Linked DNA regions of Mytilus edulis. The protein of the gene in region 1 purifies or fractionates together with the protein of each later gene. This does not show direct contact. Links are inferred from orthologs where the notes say so. Each region holds a gene or a part of one and is shown on either strand. Other genes may lie near its edges.

What was found.
Region 2: the proteins of eukaryotic translation initiation factor 2-alpha kinase 3-like (region 1) and transducin beta-like protein 2 purify together in Homo sapiens (affinity purification with western blotting; 3 studies listed by BioGRID). This does not show direct contact. The link is inferred for Mytilus edulis from reciprocal best matches to the Homo sapiens genes EIF2AK3 and TBL2.

The regions. Positions count from the first base shown.
Region 1 is NC_092347.1:88,471,804-88,483,579, forward strand, and holds the start of eukaryotic translation initiation factor 2-alpha kinase 3-like, read left to right. Parts: upstream 1-6,420; 5' UTR 6,421-6,556; coding exon 6,557-6,777; intron 6,778-9,299; coding exon 9,300-9,429; intron 9,430-9,718; coding exon 9,719-9,916; intron 9,917-11,668; coding exon 11,669-11,776. Other genes in the region: peptidoglycan recognition protein 1-like, read left to right, coding at 1-191. UniProt on the Homo sapiens protein: Metabolic-stress sensing protein kinase that phosphorylates the alpha subunit of eukaryotic translation initiation factor 2 (EIF2S1/eIF-2-alpha) in response to various stress, such as unfolded protein response (UPR).
Region 2 is NC_092349.1:58,945,915-58,957,070, reverse strand, and holds the start of transducin beta-like protein 2, read right to left. Parts: upstream 4,539-11,156; 5' UTR 4,484-4,538; coding exon 4,360-4,483; intron 1-4,359. Other genes in the region: DNA polymerase delta subunit 4-like, read left to right, coding at 4,884-4,971, 7,854-7,946, 8,550-8,661, 10,024-10,048.

The sequences.
Region 1 (11,776 bases):
TAATTGCATGTGGTATTAGAATGGGAAAGATAACTCATAATTATAAAATGTACGGACATAGGGATGTAAGACAAACAGAGTGTCCAGGGAACAGTTTTTACGCTTTATTACAGACTTGGCCTCACTTTGGTCATACAAAACCAGTAAAACCAACCAGTTCATCACATCACCAGACTCAAACAAGCGGCTAACCCCGTCATTGGTTGTGGTTGGGACACGGTTGGGAAGAAATATACTGTATATTAAAGAATCGTGTTTGTCTGTTTGAGTAGTTTTATGTGTGCATGTGTGTGTTTTTGTTTTCAGAAAATGAATTAATGTTATACATTGTAACTATTTTTCATGCATCCTTTTGTGTCACATGATAAATTCTGAAAAAAAATCTGTGTTAAGTGCTTTTTAAAGTCGAAATGTCATTATAAGGTTGTGACTTATTAACTCATCATAGTCTAGATACCAGGATTCTTATTCAAAAGACTTATTAGTTGCCCTCGAATAAAAAGTTACAAGGTCAAATAAAACAAAAAGTTCAAGAGCGATGAGGGCCCAAAATTCAGCAAGATTTTGCCAAATACTGCTAGTTAGGAAATCTATTCTTGAGGTAGAAAATCATTTGTTTTTCTATAAAAAAAAAAAAAAAAAAAAAGAAATACGTTTGGTAAACAGTTGAATATAATATAGGGTTATTGCATGAATATTGGGGAATATTGTCCCGAGTAGAATTTTATATTGCACGAGCTTGCGAGTCCAATATATGTTCTACGAGGGACAATATTCCCCAATATTCATGCAATAACCCTTTTATTGTATAGCAATATAATATTTGAAAGTAAAAATTGGTTTAAAATAATATTTTGTCATTGATGACGTCATGAATTTTGAAGATTTATTGCACTAGTGCAATAATAGAATTTATTGCACGATAACTTTTGGTTACTTTCTGTTGGAAATATTATATTGCTATACAATAATAAATGATATTGTGTCAAATACGAATTTTATCATATCATTTTCAATCATGTCTAATCAATTCTGAAAATAGGTTATCAGTTTATATGAATTCTATTTAGATATTTATAATATTATCTCGGTCGACAGTTTTACATGTATAAACCGTAAAAAAAAACTTTCTATTTCCTTCAATAAACTTCTAATATGATCATAAATTATTACGTCTACTGGTGTTTTAGGGTGCTAAATCAAGCAAATGTGAATATATCTTGAACTACATGTTTTGATTGCATTTGAATTCTGCACGAATATTTCCCAGGCATTGCACTAGTTCACATCCATGTGTTATTATCATAATTATACAGTATTTTAACAGCAGATTATATAATATTAAAATTACCCTAAGAGCTATACATCATATATCAATTCACATATACAAGACTCATACAAGTATTTATAATAAAATATCAATTTTTTAGCATATGAGAATCGAACAGTTATAACTTTTATCAGATGCAAAAGAGATGATAAGATTTATAAAAATCTTAATTAAAATAGCTTACATATGCATGAAACTATGCTTTAAAATTTGCTGATGAACAACATTTTTTTTTTAAATGGGCATGGTAAAATAAAAAGTCAACAAAACAGTACAAATAAAAATGAATTAGAAATTCAAAAATTTCAGTTATGAATTTAAAAAAATAATCATATCTGATCCCTTTTTATATAAAAAAAAATATGTGCAGACATACATGTAAAACAAAAACATAATGGTTTACAAACATAGATAAATAAATATTCTAATTATTGAATGTCTATCGAAGAAAAAATCCGAACAGTACACAATCGTGCTGAATTATTGATAAACAGACTTTCAAGGCTTAAAGAAATTTAATCAGACAAGTCGAAAAGAAAGCCTCTCAAGCAACACGTACGAATTTTTTTTAAACTCATACCATTAGAGATGTAACGAAATCACTAATAAATGATCTAATTTGTTGTCTATATTCAACTATTTTTACTACTGCTAAAAAATAATAGGCGTGATAACGAACAAAAGACGAAATTCGAATATATTCTAAAGTTATGACAATCCTAAGACCAACTTAAGACACCTAAATTGGTATCCTAAAGTTAGGACAATTCCTAGGATTTTCCTTAGTTGCGACATGTTTGATAAACCCAATAGGACTAAGATGTGTCCTAAGTTGGTCTAAGGACACGTCCTAATCCTAAGAGAGCTTCGATAAACAGGCCCTTGGGTCCTCAAATTGACATACTCTTCAACTTCGTACTTTTATTTTATTTTATTTTCATTTTAGCGAGATTAATAAGACTTCTGACGAAATGTACGTCTGATGTTAAATTGTTTAAGTCTGTTAAGTATGGTGTTAACTATGATACACACAGCAGACCAGCAAGGCATATGAATAGCAAGTCACGCCAAAAGCTAGCTCGATGTTTACCTATTTCAATATTTAACATTTATTAGATCTATATAACAACAAAAAAGTATGCTAAGATTAAGCACGCATTGTAGAATAAGAAGCATTTACAAGTTACGTATTTTAGAAAGCTGTAACATACATTATGAGAAAATAAAACGGCGGAATTAAAACAATACGAGTAAAAAGGTGTATACAGCCTATGACAAGGCGGTGACTAGTTTTCCAATAAGGATCTTCAATAATCAGGGAACTAAAAATCAAAACACAGGATCAAAATTATAAAAAAAAACAGTCAAAGTTACCCAATTCTACTTGATTTTACAATTCTATTTGTTTTTCTGTAATGGTGTACTCCTCTGTTCGGGATATGGGAGTTGAACGCTCACACTCGAGTTTGTTGTTGGTTGATTGGGGAGTTGAACGCTCACAATCGAGTACTCCTCTGTCCGGGATTGGGGAGTTGAACGCTGACATTCGAGTTTGTTGTGGTTGGTAGATGTCTGTCATAGTTATGTATTTCGTTTAATATTGTAAAATATATCAAACACTCGTATTTCTCGTTTGAATTGTTTTACAATCTGTCATCCCAGGGCCATTTTAAAACTGTACTACTAACTTATACAGTATTTGTTTCGCACATTGCTGACGGCTGTTAAAGTACTGTGACATGTACTGGATCCCATATTTGTCCTTTCTTCGTTAATGGGATAATGACAATCATACCACAACTCAGAACTTTTATTTTATTATGTATCTTACAATATGCCTGCAACAAAAATTGAAAGAAACATGTATTATTCATGATACATACCTGATACATGAACACACAAAATACGAACGATAATAACATTTGATATCGTACAGAACATATATACATTGCACAAAAGTCAGGTTAACAAATGGTTTCTGCTTGTCAATGTAGACTGAATTGCATTCTTGTCTTACATATACAAGACTTTCTAAACATTATAAAAGGCTTGTATGTGCTAAATATCATCATAACAACACTGTATGTGCTTTATGTATGCTAAAGCAAACCAAGATCTATAAAGGCTTTACTATGTTGTTGAAGATATAGCAATTGTTTACAAATTAAAGCTTAACTGCTCGAATACATTGAATATAAAAAAGAAGGTGTCGTCTGATTGCCAATGAGACAACTCTCCACAAGAGACCAAATAACATAGTATAACACATGTAATTACAAACTAAAGGTCACCATACGACCTTCAACAATTTGAGCAAAGCCCATACTGCATACATTAACTTATACAAGGCCCCCAAATGACAAATGTAAAACAGGTCAATCGAGAAAACTCACGGTCTAATCTATGTACAAATTAATGAACGAAAAACAAATATGATACACACCATAAAACGACAATCACTTGATTACAGGCTCCTGACTTTGAACAGACATGCACATACAGGAATAAGACTATTTTCAGCATGTTAGCAGACTGAGGTAACATTGTAAAAAAAAATTCTAGAAGGAAAGCCAGTCATCCATATGCCGGGATGTCATGTTATTATAGCAGAAAACTTTTACAATTTAAAATAACAAAACAGTGCAGTGGTGGACCCAGAACTTCAACAATTTGAGCAAAGCCCATACTGCATACATTAACTTATACAAGGCCCCCAAATGACAAATGTAAAACAGGTCAATCGAGAAAACTCACGGTCTAATCTATGTACAAATTAATGAAAGAAAAACAAATATGATACACACCATAAAACGACAATCACTTGATTACAGGCTCCTGACTTTGAACAGACATGCACATACAGGAATAAGACTATTTTCAGCATGTTAGCAGACTGAGGTAACATTGTAAAAAAAAATTCTAGAAGGAAAGCCAGTCATCCATATGCCGGGATGTCATGTTATTATAGCAGAAAACTTTTACAATTTAAAATAACAAAACAGTGCAGTGGTGGACCCAGAACTTTTTAAAGGGGGCACTAAGCGGCCTAAGGGCATGTCCCCCTCCCCAGTTCAGGTTACCAACAAAAGTTTTAACATAATTTTATTAATACTGAATCTTTATTTAGAATTAATTACAGTTTGATTTGTAAAACTGGCCGTTAATCCCATCTCCAACATACTTGAAACTGACAACGCCATGGCTAAAAATAAAAAAGACAAACAGAAAAACAATAGTACACACGACACAACATAGAAAATTAAAGAATAAACAACACGAACCCCACCAAAAACTAGGGGTGATCTCAGGTGCTCCGGAAGGGTAAGCAGATCCTGCTCCACATGTGGCACCCGTCGTGTTGCTTATGTGATTACAAATCCGGTAAATAGTCTAATTCGGTAGGTCATATTCATGAAAGGGAAGGGGATTGTAGTTACGACGTAAGGAACATATCCGATATCATTTGTGAAACGGTTATTCCATAACGGTCAACCAACTCGTGATGGCGTCCTTAAAATTTTCGAAGGGATGATTTCAACTTCACCATTTGGAACTCTTGGTTTAATAGCTTCCTTGTGAGCAGCAAACCTCTATCAAGAAAATCATGATAGGAAATGCAAGCACGGGAATATCGTATCAATTGGGAGATATATACCCCGTATGCAGGTGCTGCTGGAATGTTGCTACTTAGAAATGGAAAGTTCACAATTGGAAAGCTGAAATCATCTCTTTTGTCGTAAAGTTTTGTTTTCAACCGACCCTCATTGTCAATTTCTAGATGTAAGTCAAGATATGAAGCCGACTTAACTGTATCTGTAGTATCCTTTATCTCTAGTTCGATTGGATAGATGCGTTCCACATACTCACCAAATTTTGAATTGTTTAGTGAAAGAACATCATCTATATAGCGGAAAGTAGAGTTAAAGGATATTGCTAACTTTTTATCTTTCTTCCTAAGAAGTTTCTGCATGAAGTCCAAGCATACAGTAAATTATGAATCAATTATCGTATATCTATTTTTCTTGTTCCATGTATGAGGCCATGGATGAGGATATGAATGGTTTTTACAGGGCAAAAAAAAAACGTCATTAGATGCCGGACCAAAACTAAAGATAACAAAATAAGGAAATGGTGAAATTAAAATGTGAAGAATATAATAATTGATTTTGGTTGCCTAATCATCAGTGTCCAGTGGCAAATATAGGCATGTTTAGGAAAAATCTAAGAGATAAACAAATATAGGATAGAGCGAAAAATAGCAGGACCAAAACTGAAGATAACAGAATAAAAGATGATATTATTGAAAGTATATTGCGATGATTGATTTTTGCTGTCTAATGTCCAGTGGCAAATTATCTGACCCCCCTTTTTAACCACCACCACCACACATACCACAACCATTACCACCAAAAGTCACATATATCGGTATCTCTATACAGATATCGATGTTTGGGTGCTCCCCCCCCCCCCCCCCCAAGAAAACGAGGTTCTGGATACGCCCCTGTCTTTGTATATTTTGAAAATATCACTGCTGGGTCACATTGTGTCAGATATAAATATATAGGCCGGGAAAACCAATCGTATGATAATCGAAATTTCGTACGTTTTTCAGAGACTAGTGTCTGTCGTAAATAACATATCTACTCCATTCCGGAGTTAAAATTTTGCCAAAAACTTTCAAAAATATAAAGGTTGCCAGATTTAAAATTAAGACCAAGGATTTGTCTGTATAGTTTGTCTTTTAAAAGACGCAAAAATAACAACAAAAATTTCAGTAAATTTACTAAAAGATAATTTTTTAATATATTTTTTTGGCCAAATAATTAAAGATATTTGAAATGCAAAATAACATCGGTATTGAAAAAAAAGTATACTGGGAGTTCTGACTACTAAAATCAGAGACATATAATTATTAACGGGAACTTTCGCTTCTTTATAAGCAACAAAATTCGTTTTCTGTTATCAGGGTTGTTAAAAAATGTTGTTTGTCGTTTATTAATGCATTTTTAGTATGTTAAATTTGGATTTTTTTGATTTTTTTAAAGTCAGCTGAGCTGGGACTAGGTTATAAATAGATTAGGGGAAAACCTAAAACCAATCGTATGACAATCGGAAGTGTCGCTTTGACCACGTCGACTTAGGTGATCTCATTTCCGGTGTAAACACTTGGACTGTTTTCAACAGATTATCTTACGTCAGATGTAAATGTAGATTTTTGTATTGTAAATGGGAAGAAGACGAAGTAAACGATGGAATTCGTGTATGATTTGGTTTGCTACGTCGGTTGGAGCTCTGTTTTATACGATCAGTTGCATCAAAGCCGCGGATGATATTGACACCTCGAGATCTGTCGATTCTGGAACCTACTATGATTTTCCCAGGGAACCCGAAATTACTGGTCAAAGATCATCCTCCTGTGTGGCAAAACCTCCGTCTGTTCTAAATAAGTAAGTAATTATAATTGCAAATATTGAAAAAAAATCATCTCATAAATCATTTATTTGCATTCATCTGACCATGCTGACAGACCTACCCACTGCCAGTACAGTGTACTGGTTTTGTCGACTGACATGCTACAATATGTACTTGTAATCAAAAGAACGAACATTGGACATTTAAAAGATTACAGTAAGCACTCTTGAGATACAACAAATTATCTCCCCTTGATTGCTTGTCTTTGTGACTAGTATTTACACTGTTTGTACAAAAGTCTTCTGTTTATTTTTTATTTTTTATTCTCCCAGAGCATTGACCTCTGCATTTATGCAGCAAAAGGCTCAACTGCAAGGCATGTTTTTAAGCCGGTTTAGTTTTTGTATACAGTGGGCAAATGCTGCATGATCCACAACAGAATATACTCTTTTAATATAGACCGTTAACATTTAAGTTGACTGTACATGTATACTGACTGATATAATACAGAAAAATAATTGAGTAGTCCTGTGTACAGTTTTCAAGATTCAAAGTTTTATTTAGAGTTGATATTCAATAAACTACATACATGTAACACAAGCTCTAGTGAGCTTTTCAAGTATTTACTGGAGAAAAAAATAATACTTTGTTGTTATTTCAGCAAAGTGTAAGTTAGAACTTCCAAAACATAAGCAAGAACCTGAATAATCTGAATTTACAAAGGGGTCCAACAAAGGAAAATAATATTTTGTAGAATGATTCACCATGCAATATCTTCTTAATCTGGTGGTTATGACCTGTTAATCTTGTTTACTTGTGGCTTCTGACTTAGGGCAGGCGCATATTGACATATAGATATATTGTTCCCAGATCCAGTACGAAAAATCTTCATTTTTTTATGTAAAGCAAAACAAATTAATTTACTACATCATGTACATGTTTACCTTAGAAAAGAATAAACTGTGAACATTAAGATAAGGCTGCATTTGTGTAAACTAATTTTTCTTCTATTGAAGTTTCAAGAATTAGTCTTCATGCATACAGTGTATTATTAACACAAATAATTACCATGCACAATGTTGAACAATTATAAACTGTATCATGTGTATTAAACGATGTTAAAAATTGAACAAAAAACTGCTACATACACATGATATGCAACTTTTGTGATATCTAGCTGGTTGGAACACATGTTTTCTTTTTAAATTAGGAATATTTTGTCAAATGGCTTTAAAAAAAACTCTTTACAATAAGAAATGGAATTAATTCTGCGGACTTGTTGTACATGTAATATATAATTCAAAGAGAAACTTGACTATAATTATGTAATAAAATAAAAGCAATGAATTCATTGCTATTTTGTAACCTATTAATTCAAACATGTCAAAACCTCAGTTTCTTTCATTTTTTTTTTTTTTTCCACACTTTTTTTATCTTATTTTAAAGCTTAATTTAATCTGCATTTAATACCATTATTCATTGTTTGCCGCCTACATTGTACATGTATTGTATAAACAATAAGTACATGTTCATCCTGATAAAGATATTTATGTATTCAATAATACCAAATATAGAAATAACCATGGCCACCACTTTAAGTGAGAAATTTTTCCTCAAAATTTGAGCTTTGTAAATATTTAAATCAAATCAAATGACTATTCATGAAGTGTAGCTTTTTATAGTCAGACAAAGCCATGAACAATATTTGTCTAAGATTTAATTATTTACAAATTAGTTAAGTACAAATGTCTTCAAGTAAACAAAGTATTTTACGTAGACAAATTCACAATACATGTACTGTATATACCACAGTGGAACCCAATAGTAAAAAAATGTAGGCACTTATGATACTTTACCTAAAATTTATTGAAAAAATGCTTTAGTTCAGACACAAATAAGGCTCAATGTATGAATTTACTGGACAGTATTAATTATTAATGTTCTCCAATACACAACCAAAATCAGAATTAGTATCTCAAAGGTATTTTTTATACTGATCCTGTTGAAATGAGTTTCCGAGGTTAGGGAGGTTGTGTGGCAGCTAACATGTTTAACCCCAACATATTCTGTATGTGCCTGTCCAAAGTCGGGAGCCTGTAAACATGATAAATCAGTTGTTGTTGTGTGTTGGCGTTTAACATTTGTATTTCATTATTGTTTTTAATGTCATTTTTTGGCCTTTTATAGCTGACTATGCAGTTGGGTTTTTCTCATTTTTAAGGCCGTACAATGATCTATAGCTGTCACATTGGCAATACACTGTAATACCAAATCTTCCTATTTGTACATTGTATAAGGTAATATATTAAAATTTGGTAAACATGATGCATTATAGAAGAAGGTCCAATTTCCACTGTATCTGTTTTATTCAGACAATCATTGACATTCTGTATTGAATCAATTCAGTATAAACATGAAATATTAAATATAATAAGGAACAAATGTTACTTTTGAAGATATGCCAGTTTGTTGTGTATATACATTGTAAGAGAACAAATGTTTTCAAATACAATGTATTATGAAGGTTAAAAATGATCATTAATTGTATATATTGTAGATTTCTGATGGTAGTGAGTACTCTAGATGGCAAAGTTTCAGCATTAGATGTACAGGATAGTGGCAAGATACTATGGAGTGTTGATGCTGATACTAGACCCCTGTTGTCATCCAGTATAGGAAACTTAGAGGTAGGTACAAGTCAAAATTCTTCAAAAAACATGTTGGAGTGTGGAATTAAGCTACAGTGTAACCTGCTTAATCTGACAACTGAGTATTTCAACATCCTGGTTTTAGCCGACACATTTTCATGGTCCAAAAATATGCCTGTTCTTGTAGAAAAAATTCCGACACCCTGCTTAATCTGACATTTTTTCTGCTCCCCTATGTGTTGTATATCTTTTGTCTATTAATTCTTGATAAATGATCTAATGCAATGCCTCATTAATATACTTTACCTTTATGTTTCTTTTTCTTCAGATAACAAGAAATGGAATGAAAACACGACTGATACCCTCTCTTGATGGTGGTTTGTACCAGTATGATGGAGAGAGTATCGAGGCTGTTCCCCTGTCTGCAGAAACACTACTTAGCTCGTCATTTAAGATGACAGAAGATATAACTATGATTGGTGGCAAAGATTTATTATCGTATGGTTTAGACCCCCTTTCTGGTCAGGTAATAATTTAATCTTCATGTTTTATTGCGAACCCTATCTTAGTTTTCCATAGATTCACCTGCAAGTTACCTGTCCATTTAAACTTTTGTAAGTCCTATTGTCCCATCTAACAAATACAACAGGTATTGTTCTCTGTGTAGTTTATTCACTGGGACCTTTAAATTTCTTCTAGGAGAAATATATCACTCATTGATTAATTTACCTGACCAAAAAATTATCTTCTTTTTTATTGAAATACTTCTAATAACTCACATAAACTGTATGCAATATTGTATTTATTCAATATTATCATTAATATATTTTCAATCTGTTCAATATAAAATCTGGTTTAATACTAAAAAGTTTATTTCAGACACATTTTTTAGTATTTTCCAATGAATTTACATGTTTTTGTTGTTGTTCATTTATAGACTTATGTTTATGAAGACCTTAATTTAAAAATAATAATATTCAATTTTTTATTTATCAAACACACAAAAATATTGAATATTTGATCAGAAATCAACTTTTAATTTTTGAATCAGTATTACAAATGTAATATTGAACACATTAAAAACGAGTTACTCCAGGTATCTAATAAATACAACACCACATGCAGTTTTGTGAGTCCTTACTTAGTATTGGTATAAGTATTTTTTCTTCATTGACAGTTCAATTTTTTACTCAGGTAGATTAATCAATGAGTGATATATTTCTCCTAGAAGAAATTTAAAGGTCTGAGTGAATAAACTACACAGAGAACAATACCTGTTGTATTTGTTAGATGGGACAATAGAACTGCCAAAAGTTTAAATGGACAGGTAACTTGCAGGTGAATCTATGGAAAACTACGATAGGGTTCGCAATAATAGAGGAGTAAAGATAACACAAGAAATATTTTTTTTAAAAATGCAATTTTTCCGAAAGATTGATTCATGTACCAGTACTGTAGTATGTCATGTAAAGAAATAATTTCTGAATGTCCCCATCCAACTTCCAAGCAAGGACCAAAGCTCATAAACTCGGCAATCAAACATTAAACACAGGACTTCGGGAATGTCCGGAGAGTCGACAACCTTGCTTTGGAAGTTGGTCCCCGTTCTGATGTTTACATGATTTGATTTAGAGGGCATATACTTTCAAAAAAGAGATAAAAAGAGTCAAAAACTGAAATGAAATAGATTTTGCCATTTAATTTACAATCTTAACACGGAAGACGCACAATTTGTTGGCAACACTGACTATTTACCATATTTAAGACTTATTGAATTATTTAAACATGTTAAAGGGAGAAAATTCATAAACATTTTTTAGCTGATAGAAATATATATGAATAAAAAGAAATGAGGTGAACATTGATGAGAAAGCAACCAAACAAATCAAATTTGACCAAAACAAGGGCAAGGTCACCATACAGTGGTAATAAGTGAACAAAAACTAGTATAACAACTAATTTTCTGTGTATGCAACATAAATGATATATAGAATATAATAATTTGCAAAGGAAAACATTGTAAATGTATTTACTTATTTAGAAAATATTTTTAAAGATATTATTAAATTGACTGTCTTGTAACCTGTACAAGTCAATGCATGTTATAAAATTTTGCCATGATAGGTTGATATTCACATGCTGGTAGAAAACATTTTAAACGTTATGTTTATAGTTTGAATAAAATATTTAAAAATAATAGATGATTAACTTGCATTTTATAGTTTAGAAGTATAAACAAATTTTGTGTATTTATAGTATAATATGTTCATTACTATAGCTGAAGTACACATGCAGTGCTCATGGCTGCCATACATTTGGTGATTCCATGGTAACGGAAGAGGAAGATGTCCTTGTTGTTACTAGAAATACACAAACTGTAAGAGCC
Region 2 (11,156 bases), on another chromosome or scaffold:
GCTGAAATGTAAGAAAATAGTTTACCTGTCACCTGAACAGGTAGATTTCAGCTAACTAATTAGCCTTGATTAAAATTAGAAAGTATTTAAGTAGAGGCTGTTTTGATAGTAGTTAATCATCTGTCACTTTTATGACCGGAAATGTGTGGCTGTTAAAGGCAAAATGTTGGGTCAAAAAGATTGTGTTTATGTTAAAATGAACGTCTAGTAAGAAAGCCATGAAAACTAAAAAGTAGATGATCGTTTCATGGGCAATATAGGAAAGGTGTACTGACATAAGTAGTCTCTAAACACATTAGCTCCAAATGGAGCTTTCGTTAGTAGAAGCCATATTAACTATGTGTATCAGTGAGAAAAATGTAAAAGCATAAAAATATAGTATATATACCAATACACATAATTAACAGCGCCTGGTGATGTTTTATAGCCTGTTACGGTAAACTTTTCAACATTATACGGTAATCATGTGACCTGATGATATAACCATATTTGGGCTTTAGCATTGGGTAAAGGGTGTTTAAATAATTTAAGAAGTACATGGTAATCATTTAGTCTTGATCTTTGGCTTATGATACACCTAAATATCAAGTCTTGGAATAGTATGTCATGGTAGTCATGTGATCTTGATATTTGGCTTATGATACACCTAAATATCAAGTCTTGAAATAGTACTTCCTAGCAGTCATGCAGTCTTGATCTCAGGCTTATGATACACCTGAATATCAAGTCCTGAAATAAACACCCTTTACCCAATGCTAAAGCCCAAATATGGTTATATCATCAGGTCACATGATTACCGTATAATGTTGAAAAGTTTACCGTAACATGTAAAGAAAGTTTACTGTAACATGTACATTAGCTAAATATAGATAACTGTAACCATGGAAAATCCCAACTGAATGGCTAATTGAACCTTTTTAGATATCAACAAGATACTTATTTATCCACTGGATAACTTTGATCCGCCGGTTCGCTCTGAAATGCCGGTTAAATCTCAACCACTGGTTAACTCAACCGCGGGTTAAACAAACCGCCAGTTAAATCTTAACTGCTGGATAACTCAACCGCCGGTTACCATATCTATATAAATAGGGTGCAAACATTAATCCATCATTCTGCCTCTGATGAAGGTCCTTTTCGGACCGAAACCGGTCAGGCTATAAAACATCACCAGGCGCTGTTAATTACGTGTATTGGTCAAGGGTCCGGAAATTTTTTCACCTAATTTCGGTCATTTTTGGATAACTTAAAAGTTGGTGCCCTTTTTCAAACAAAGATTGTGTGTATGCTCATACAGTCATACTCGTAGCATCAAGGAACTTGTTTAACTGTTGCACCGCATTTACTTCAGAAATTTCCCTACTATTTTCCTTAAAATCTTGAGCAATAAAAGGAAGGCAACAGTTTAAAAATGAAATGATTTTAATGACTCAAAACGATAAATTTCTCAAACTTCGCTTACGTTTCTTTCGATTTGAAGACAAAATTATAACCGGATGTTTTACGACAATAGTAAAACGACCAATTACGGACTCATTTCCGGGATTAGTTTTGTTTATCAAATTCACAGGAAATCGTCGGCTTTTTAACTGTTTTACCTTTAATAGTGTTTGAATATTAATTATAATAGTTGGACTTGTTTAATTTAGCATGAAATCATTTTGAATTTACGATTTAGTGTCTTTTGTGGAAGAGAATTTCAAGATTGCCTATTAGTAAACAAAGCACATGTGTTTGTAGTGAAACAATATTTTGTTCTACGTAAATTAATTTAATTTTAATTTAATTTTAAATCAGAATTGACAATTGTCTAAGCTGAGAAAAGTAATTAAATAATGCAGACAGTTGTTATGAACTTTTCATTTATTAGTTCTGAGCTTGTGATCAATAAAAAATTTAATTAAAAACACAGGTAAAGAGTCTTAGATTAGCGATCATTAGCCAATATTTCCCAGAGGCATTACTATAGTTATTAGGAGGGCCCTCAGGATTATAACACTTTACTGGAGTGGCAGTTTTATTACAGGAAAGGGATAACAAACAAAAAAAAGTTCAAAATGGCGATTTAGACAATGTTGGAAACTCGATCTCAACGAAATGAAATTTAATGACCGAAATTATTTCTGTAAAAAAATAAAATTTGTCCTAAATCCCAATTACTCATTTAGGACAAAATACTTTCAGTTTAGGTCAAGACTGGCATATATGACCGTTTCCGGACCCTTGGTATTGGTATATATACTATATTTTTAGATGATCGTTTCATGCTTTGTCCAGCCAGACTTTTACCGGACAGAATACAATTGTCCAAAATATATGACCGTTTTGGAAGCCCTGATACAATGTACATAAATTACTTTCTGTATTGCACAAATTCATATCATCCTGTTGTATATTGTAATGATGTGGCTGTATAAAATCTCTTCATAAAAGTAAAGGAATTAAAAGGGGGCGAAAGGTATTAGAAGAAAATTCACTCATCAATCTAAGGAATTAAAAGTTGCCTTGGTCATGTTGGTCTCTTATTTTCATATTCTTATTGATAGTGTTGTTTAACTAAATGTTGTTAAAAAAAACAATACAACCTGTCACCAAACTATGTATATATCTGCCTACCCAACATGAGGAAACTCTTCAGTGGTTGTTTTAAGTTACATATCTAATAAGCATATTTTTTTTATAAAGAATTTGACATAACAACAATTTTACATGACACTTCAAGTCACCTAGTCTTGACAGGAATCCAGGTTGGTTCACCCTGATTCGTGTTCGCCCTAGTACCTGTTCGAATGGACCCAGGGCGAAAGTGTAATCAGGGCGAACAGACCCGATAGTCGATACCATCATGACAGTGACCAAAGTTAAGGTTCATCATACCAAATGGACAAATATGGCTGTATTTTCACCTCAAAAACTACTCTGTGTACAGACTTACTTGTGCTGATTGGAAAGTTTTAAGGCCTAGCATCCACTAGATATATAAAAGTAAAATGCATTTTATATTTAAGAAAGATAAAATCTTTCTTGGTTTTTGATGGGCATTTTTTTCCTTTCTGCAGAAGGTGTAAAAATAAACAAACACCTGAATTACTTTGATACTGTCCACTCACTGACTCAGATAAACTCTTTTTTTACTCACCTGTAGTTGTGAAGATACCTCTTGTCCATGTCAAGTAAGGACAATCAAAACAATACAAACCCATTTTTTACCTGAGGGAGCATCTCAAAGTTGTACCACAACTTAGTTAATTTTCACACCATATGCACGAGGGGAATAAAATGCCCGTCAAAATCCAAAAGAAATTTTATCTTTCTGAACATGCTGAAACACAAAATGCATTTAAATTTTATATATCTAGTGGATGCTAGGCATTAAAACTTTTCCAACTTCACAAGTAAGTCTGTACTCAGAGTAATTTTTTGGCACGTTTATACAGCCATATTTGTGCGTTTGTTATGATGAACTTTAAAAAAAGTATCTGTCAACATAATTTTAATAATTTGCCCTAATCTTGCACAGTGACTGTGTAACAGCCACTATGTTCCGTCAGTTACTCTGTTCCGGTTGAACTTTTCAACTAGTTACTTTATTCCGAGTGCAGTTGAAAAGTTCCGGAAAAAAGTAGCTATTTGAAAAGTCTCGGAACAATGTAGCTAGTTGAATAGTTCTGGTGGAACAGAACAACTAGCTCCTTCGGTCAGAATGTTGCCTTCATAACGGAATAAGTTCTAATTTATTTTCATACATTAATCTGAAATTGATATTTTTAAAAGTACCCATATGAGGAGGAACTTTTGGGCCAGTTTGTTAGTTCCGGTTGTGACTGATTTGCCAAAGAGGAACTTTGCGACTAGTTGATAAGTTCCTTTTGACTTTTGTAATCAGTATCTTGGTTCCACTTTGAAAGGTTCAAATATAATATCTTGCGCTTTTACTTTACACCAATTCTCCAAATGGAACTTTGTGACTGGTTGATAAGTTCCGCTGGAACTTTTGGGCTAGTTTGTTAGTTCCGGTTTTGACTAATTTGGCAAAAAGGAACTTTCTAACCATGCTAACTGCTTGATATGTTCCGTTGGTTTCAACTAGTCACTTTGTTCCGGGAGAACTTTTAAACCAGAGGAAGAACAAAGTAACTAATTAATAAGTTCCTTCGGAACTTTTCGGCTAGTTCTTTCCAACGTCGGAACAAAAGAGCATTTACAACTGTGCATGAATAATAGTTTTTAAGTAAGAATAATGCACTTGAACAGTTCAAATTTCTTCTCAATGAGTATAAAGCTAAAGCTTTAATGGTAAAATTCCATATTTTTTTGTATTCTCAATTTTATCACTTAAGCCCAAAAATAAAATAATACCATCTTCATCCTTTTTGTCTGCACGTCTTCCGACACTGCATAAAAGAACGAATAATAGGACTACAGCTCCAACTGCAGCAGTAACTGCTAACGCCGGTACTGAGTTTTCTGCAGAATCCGCCATGCTGATGAGTTGGAAAATATTTTTCGATATTCCTCTTACTTTTTCATATTTTGTGTGGATATCGCCGAAGATTTACGATCGTTTCAATTTTAAAGATTTTAAAATAAAAATCGAATTTTTGAAATTATTAAACACAATTTTATAAAAATTATATCCTATTCATGATAAACATAATTCAATTCTTCTCATATATAATATGTTAACATGTAAAATTTTAAAAAAAAAGTTAAAATTTTCTTTTATCTTAAAAATAGAGATTTCACCAATTTCGTTTCGTCTAATATTTGGAGCATTAGATAAACCGAGATAAACATTACCTACTTTCGCTTTTGAAGGAAGCTGAGTTTGCAAATTAAAGTGTCAAGTTATAACCTGTAAACATAACCTAAGAAGCAGAACAATGAAAATGGCAACACGTTCTTTCATTACCAATTCTTTCAAGTCTGTCAAGACTCCTAAAGGAAAAGATAAAAAGGAACCAACAAATGGTATTTTAAAAGCTGAATTTATATATATACGTAAAATATATTGATAATTATAAAAACTAGAAGCATATAAAAAATGATAGACCCCTTTAGGGATTCTGACTGCAGAGCAATTTTTTGATTTAACCACTTTGAGAGTGACCAAATCAGAAAATGGCTACTGACTCAGGGGATCCCAAAAGGGATTCAGAAATGTAATCCAACTTAGAAATTGGTAATTTTAACTCATTTATTGTAATACACCTTATCGCTATGTGTCCGCCATTACTGGACATCACACAAGTTCCTGTAAAATGTTGACATGAAAATACAAAATATCTGACACCACAATAGAAAAGTGGTTGTTGTATGATGTCAATAATTCAAGCAGGACAGATTCTTGGGTAAATGGGTAAGCTGGTAATAGTGTATATGTACACATGTAATTAACCATATAATTAAAATTGAGAATGGAAATGGGGAATGTGTCAAAGAGACAACAACCCGACCAAATAAAAAACAACAGCAGAGGGTCACCAACAGGTCTTCAATGTAGCGAGAAATTCCCGCACCCGGAGGCGTCCTTCAGCTGGCCCCTAAACAAATATACATGTATACTAGTCCAGTGATAATGAACGCCATACTAATTTCCAAATTGTACATATATATTGTTACATACACAATCTAACAAGTTGAGATATATAAACACCAAAAGATGGTGACAATTCTAAAAATGAATAACTAACATTAGGAAATGAAAAGTCACCTCTTTTATCATAAATACTGGTATTTAGCTTCCCATTAAGGATATAGATATCAAGATCCAGGAAAGGGCAGTGTTCATTGTTAGTATTAGCATGGAAGTATTATATTGACAGGAACTCTAACAAGCGGACTTCAAACGTTTATAGTGCGATGCCGCAAAATCGTTAAGTATCTGTTATAATGAACTTGACATGTCTTATGGATGCATGGGTTCCGATCAATTTTTTGGAACCTTGTGAATGATTGTAATTACAGAACATACCGAAATAACCAGATGTGTACTTAATTCAAGGAAATGACATTTACCGACCATGTGAATGACAAATATGTTAGTTTTTACAGGATTTGCTGCTTAAAAACAAATAAAAAGAAAATAAACGAAATCCCGCGACTGTTTTCACCAAAAAAAAAAAAAAAAAAAAAAAAACTGAAGAGTAAAAATACTCACAAGCCATAAACATTTCAGTTTAAGTTGCAATCAATTTTAAAATAGTAAGATTTTTATTCATGAGAGAGCCATTGACTAAACATGCGTAACTGTTATATACATGGTAGGCTTGAAAATCATAAAATTCTCATGTAAAGTAAAAGGAAAAGTTTTTATCAGTAATTATTATCGCGTTTTACTGCTAACTTTGACAAATATTTTAATAAAGTGTTTAATGAAAGAATTTCAAACAAAAATTTAATCCAAAAGTTGGCCGGGGGGACGGGGTTAAAAAGCTTTGATCCGAAGAAAATATCAAATATTTTGATTTATTGTTTACTAAAAGTCCAATGGCAAATATTTCATGCAATTAAACAAGAAACAGAAACATAAATTGCTTAGCATACAGTGTAAGATGTCACAGTTCAGAACTGTTAAGCTTTTAAACACATAAATAAATTCTAATTTGGTTTCCATGATAAAAAAAAATTAAACTGCATAGGGCCCATCATGGTGATCGTTCTTTAAATGCATCCAGAAATATTAAAAGCCATCCTTAAAAATAAATCTGTCAGACGTCAGATCGAGTAATCTCGGACTAGGTTGAATATTTAAGGTTGTTTACAACTTTGGAATTATCATAAAAGGTGTAACAATTCATCTGCATGTCTCGTAACCTGATATTGCTATGTAGAGGTCATCACATGTGTGTAATTATTAACCTCTTTTAGTCTTTAAAACATATTTGATAAATAAGTTAATAACATTTTACGATAGAGAAAACCATAAATATTTGTGTAACACTCGATAAAATTTTACAATCTTTAAACTAAAATTTGAGTTATCTGGCACCATCTGGCACACTACAAGCGCATCACATTATTTTCTGTTACCACTCTTACTTCAGAATCATGTAATTTTCATAATCGGATATTTCCTGTTTTCCAAGTTCCAATGATTAAAACATACTCAACAAAACTAAAAATAAGCTTGCCCTTTTTCCGAATGCAGTTAATTTTATTATGTCATTCTGTTAAATATGGACCAATTTTTTCGATCTTTTCAGCGTTGTTCTTCATTTATTGAACGGAAACAGGTGTTGTTGTTTATGTGGCAATTAACAAATAACCACGGGAGTTTCCGTGTTTATTTACATTGGTAGGTAGATAAGACAATCAATATTAAATCAAGTGATAAGACCAGCTTCAGTTAAAAGAACAGGCGAAGGTGGCATCACAGATACCCCACAAAGGAGTTATCACGAACTTGTCAAACTGAGTCGGAACCTTTTATTTTCTTAAAGAAATCAGTGGGATGGGAATGTGCTAATTTTTCGTTGGAGTTACTGTCAATATAATACTTCCATGGTATTAGCTTTATTTAAGGTCAGGTAGGCAGGATAAATCTCTTTAGTGTACATACTGAAATCATTGTTGAGATCCAATATCACCCAAAGGACTAAAAGTGTTATTAAATTTTTGAATCAGATGTTCTTTCGATGGTCTATGCTGATTTTAGTCATAAATTCTAACTCATATTAATACAGAAGTATATAAAGTGTAATTTTCCAAAAAGACCAGTTGAGATGAAAATATTAACAGCAAAAGTTGAACATGTACAATTACAAAAATGTCCAGGTATTAAGTTTTTGTTGAATGATATGAATTTCATTGATTTATTTTCACATGTGCATTATCTTTATTTTGTATTCCAGATGGCCATCCAAGCACAAGTAAAACAGATGTAGAAGATGAATTGAAAATACTGAGGCATTTTGATGTCACATTAGAATTTGGTCCATGTTCAGGTATATATTGTTTTATAGAATGATATTCCATCATTAAACAAATTCATATTTGTTTGCCCCTGAAGTGGAGAGGGTATTTAGTTTTACCCTTGTCCAACTGTACATCTGTCCCTACTTTCATACATCCCGAAATTGGTTCCGTTCTCTATCTTTAGCTTGCCACAACCAAATGTTATGAAACTAATACACAATACTTATTACCACAAAAGGACAGATAAAGTTTGAATTTGGGTGGGGTTCACTTTTACCTTTCTAGAGTTGTGCCCCTTTACCAAAACAAATTTTTCATTTCTATTCCCTAACTTCAGTTTGTCTCATTCAAATGTTATGAACCTTATACCCAATACTTATTACCACAAACCACAGACCAAGCACGAATTTAGGTAGAATCACTTTTACAGTTAATGAGTTATGACCCTTTATAGTGTAAAATACATCATCTGTGTCTCGTGGAAAATTCCAATCTTATTTATTTTAGGTAATTTCACTCATAGTCTATTTCATGAAAAAGAATATGCTTCTAATATAGCTTTCATCATCCAATGTTCAACATACCACATAAAGTCAATAAAGTTAACCTTTTACATACATTGTACATTTTAGGAATAACAAGAATGGAAAGATGGAAGAGAGCAGATAAACACGGCCTGAATCCTCCAGTCATTGTAAAGGAAATCCTAGATAAACATTTAGACGATGAAGAATACACAGAATGGTGAGATATATATAATATTGTCAGAAAAATAGTTCATATATACATGATATATATAATATTGTGAGACAAAAAAGTTCATATTATAGGGTTATTGCATGAATATTAGGGAATAGAGTAAAATTTTATATTGCACGAGCTTGCGAGTGCAATATATGTTCTACGAGGGACAATATTCCCCAATATTCATGCGATAATCCTTTTATTGAATAGCAATATAATATTTGTAAGTAAAAATTAGTTTAAACTAAGATTTTGTCTTGATGACGTCATGAATTTTGAAGATTTATTGCACTAGTGCAATATTGGAACTTATTGCACGCTAACTTTTGGTTACTTTCTGTGGGAAATATGATATTGCTATGCAATAAATACACATATTAAATCATATTTTTTTATTGACGAATTTTATTTTAGAAATATTTAAAATAAGGCTACCTCAACTTCTACTTTGAAGTGAAAGTTCATAGGGAAATAGTTTCAATGACGTTTTCCTTTGGGATATAGTTTACCAGAAGCAACAGTTTTCCCCAAATTTATTAATCTTCAGGTGTTTCTAGTTTTGACATTCAGTAACTTCGATATCAATTACAAGTAATGTTTAACATGTTTATCATACTCCACACAGCTGATATATAGCTTTGTTTCTCTTTAAATTGGATCAAGATTTTTTCTTTGACCGTTATGGAATAACTGTTTCACAAATGATATCGGATATGTTCCTTACGTCGTAACTACAACCCCCTTTCCTTTCTTGAATGTAACCTACCAAATAAGACTATTTACCGGATTTGTTATCACATAAGCAACACGACAGGTGCCACATATGGAGCAAAATCTGCTTACCCTTCCAGAACGCCTGAGATCACCCCTAGTTTGGTGGGGTTCGTGTTGTTTATTCTTTAGTTTTCTATGTTGTGTCATGTGTACTATTGTTTGTCTGTTTGTCTTTTTTCATTTTTGGCAATGGGGTTGTCAGTTTATTTTCTATTTATGAGTTTGACTGTCTCTCTGCTATCTTTCATCCCTCTTTTGGTATAACAGAACAGTAAGTGAAGCTTTTAAGTTATTTTCCAATGCTGTACAGTGACTTGAAGTTGTTAGTTTCTGTGACATATTTGGTTTCTTGTGGAGAGACAACTTGTCTCATTGGCAATCATACCAAATGTTCTTATTTTTATTTTCCCCTCGACAAAAAAAAAACATTTCTCTCAGCAGGGCCATAATGAAATTTTTAGTGTCTTGGGAAAAATAAAATGTTTTTTTTTCCTTAATACTGTTGAATAACTGTATAATATTACCAGATAACCTTAGGAACTCAACTAGAATGACCATTGAAATAATGTATAAAATTTTCTTTTTCAGTCTTTGGAAAGACTATCAACTTTAAGGATATGGAAAGAAAATCCACTCACCGTTATGTGTTCAAAACAAGAGACAGAAATGAACCGTAATCTTTATAATAATTTATTGGTATACATGTAAATTGGAAATCCATTTAATCACTCAGGTTATGTGTCATACATAAAAATGTTTTGTTGAAAAATATTTATAGATTTAAAACCCTTTGCAATACAGTACTCTAATATGCTCTTTTAAAATGCACCAATAATTTTAAAGCAGGATTTACCTGATTACAGTTATGCCTACAAGACAACCTTTTCTTAACTTATCTGACATGTGCCCCTCAATAAGAGATAGAATTTGAGACTTAGTTTTGATAAAAAATTATGTCAATTAGTATTGAGTAAATTCATAAAGCGCAAGTCTTTTTTATATGTCCTTTTGAGATCTACAGTAATTTCGATAAACACTTTTGTTAGTGGAATAATAATCATGTTAAATGCTTAAGTTTATGTCTCAGAAAAGGATTTCTAATCTATTCAGTGAACCAAAAACCGAGGTATTAGCATGCTTAGACTTATTATATTTATGTATTACATACATACTTTATAATCTTAACATTTGTTATAATTGTTGATTTCTCATGATTTTGTTGTTGTACTATTTATTTTATTTATAGATGTTTGTTTTTTTGTAAAATTCATATGATTAGACATAGATGTATTGTACAATTATTTTGACTAGTAATATTTTTTTTTTTTATTTTTTTTTATAGTTATACACCTTCTGTAGTCGGAAACATTTTTATAGCTGTGTACAAAAAGTTTAAGTTTCATTTACTACATCTTGTGTTTTATACCCATTTCTCATCAGTTGGTCTCATTATGAATATTTGTTTTTATTCTGTCAAAAATTAGCACAACATGTGTGTAAATGGGCATTTGTTAGTTATCAAATGAACACAAATATTTATGTTTGGTTTGATTTTCTGTAATATCAAAAACAGTGTTTGTGTGTATCAGATCATACTTTTCTCCTCAATTGTGAACAACCTTGAATATGAAAAAAGAATGTACATCAATGAAACAGTAACCCAAGGTCACAAAATAACATCAAGGTTAAAATATAGTTTTAGGCCCTGATTATATGAGATC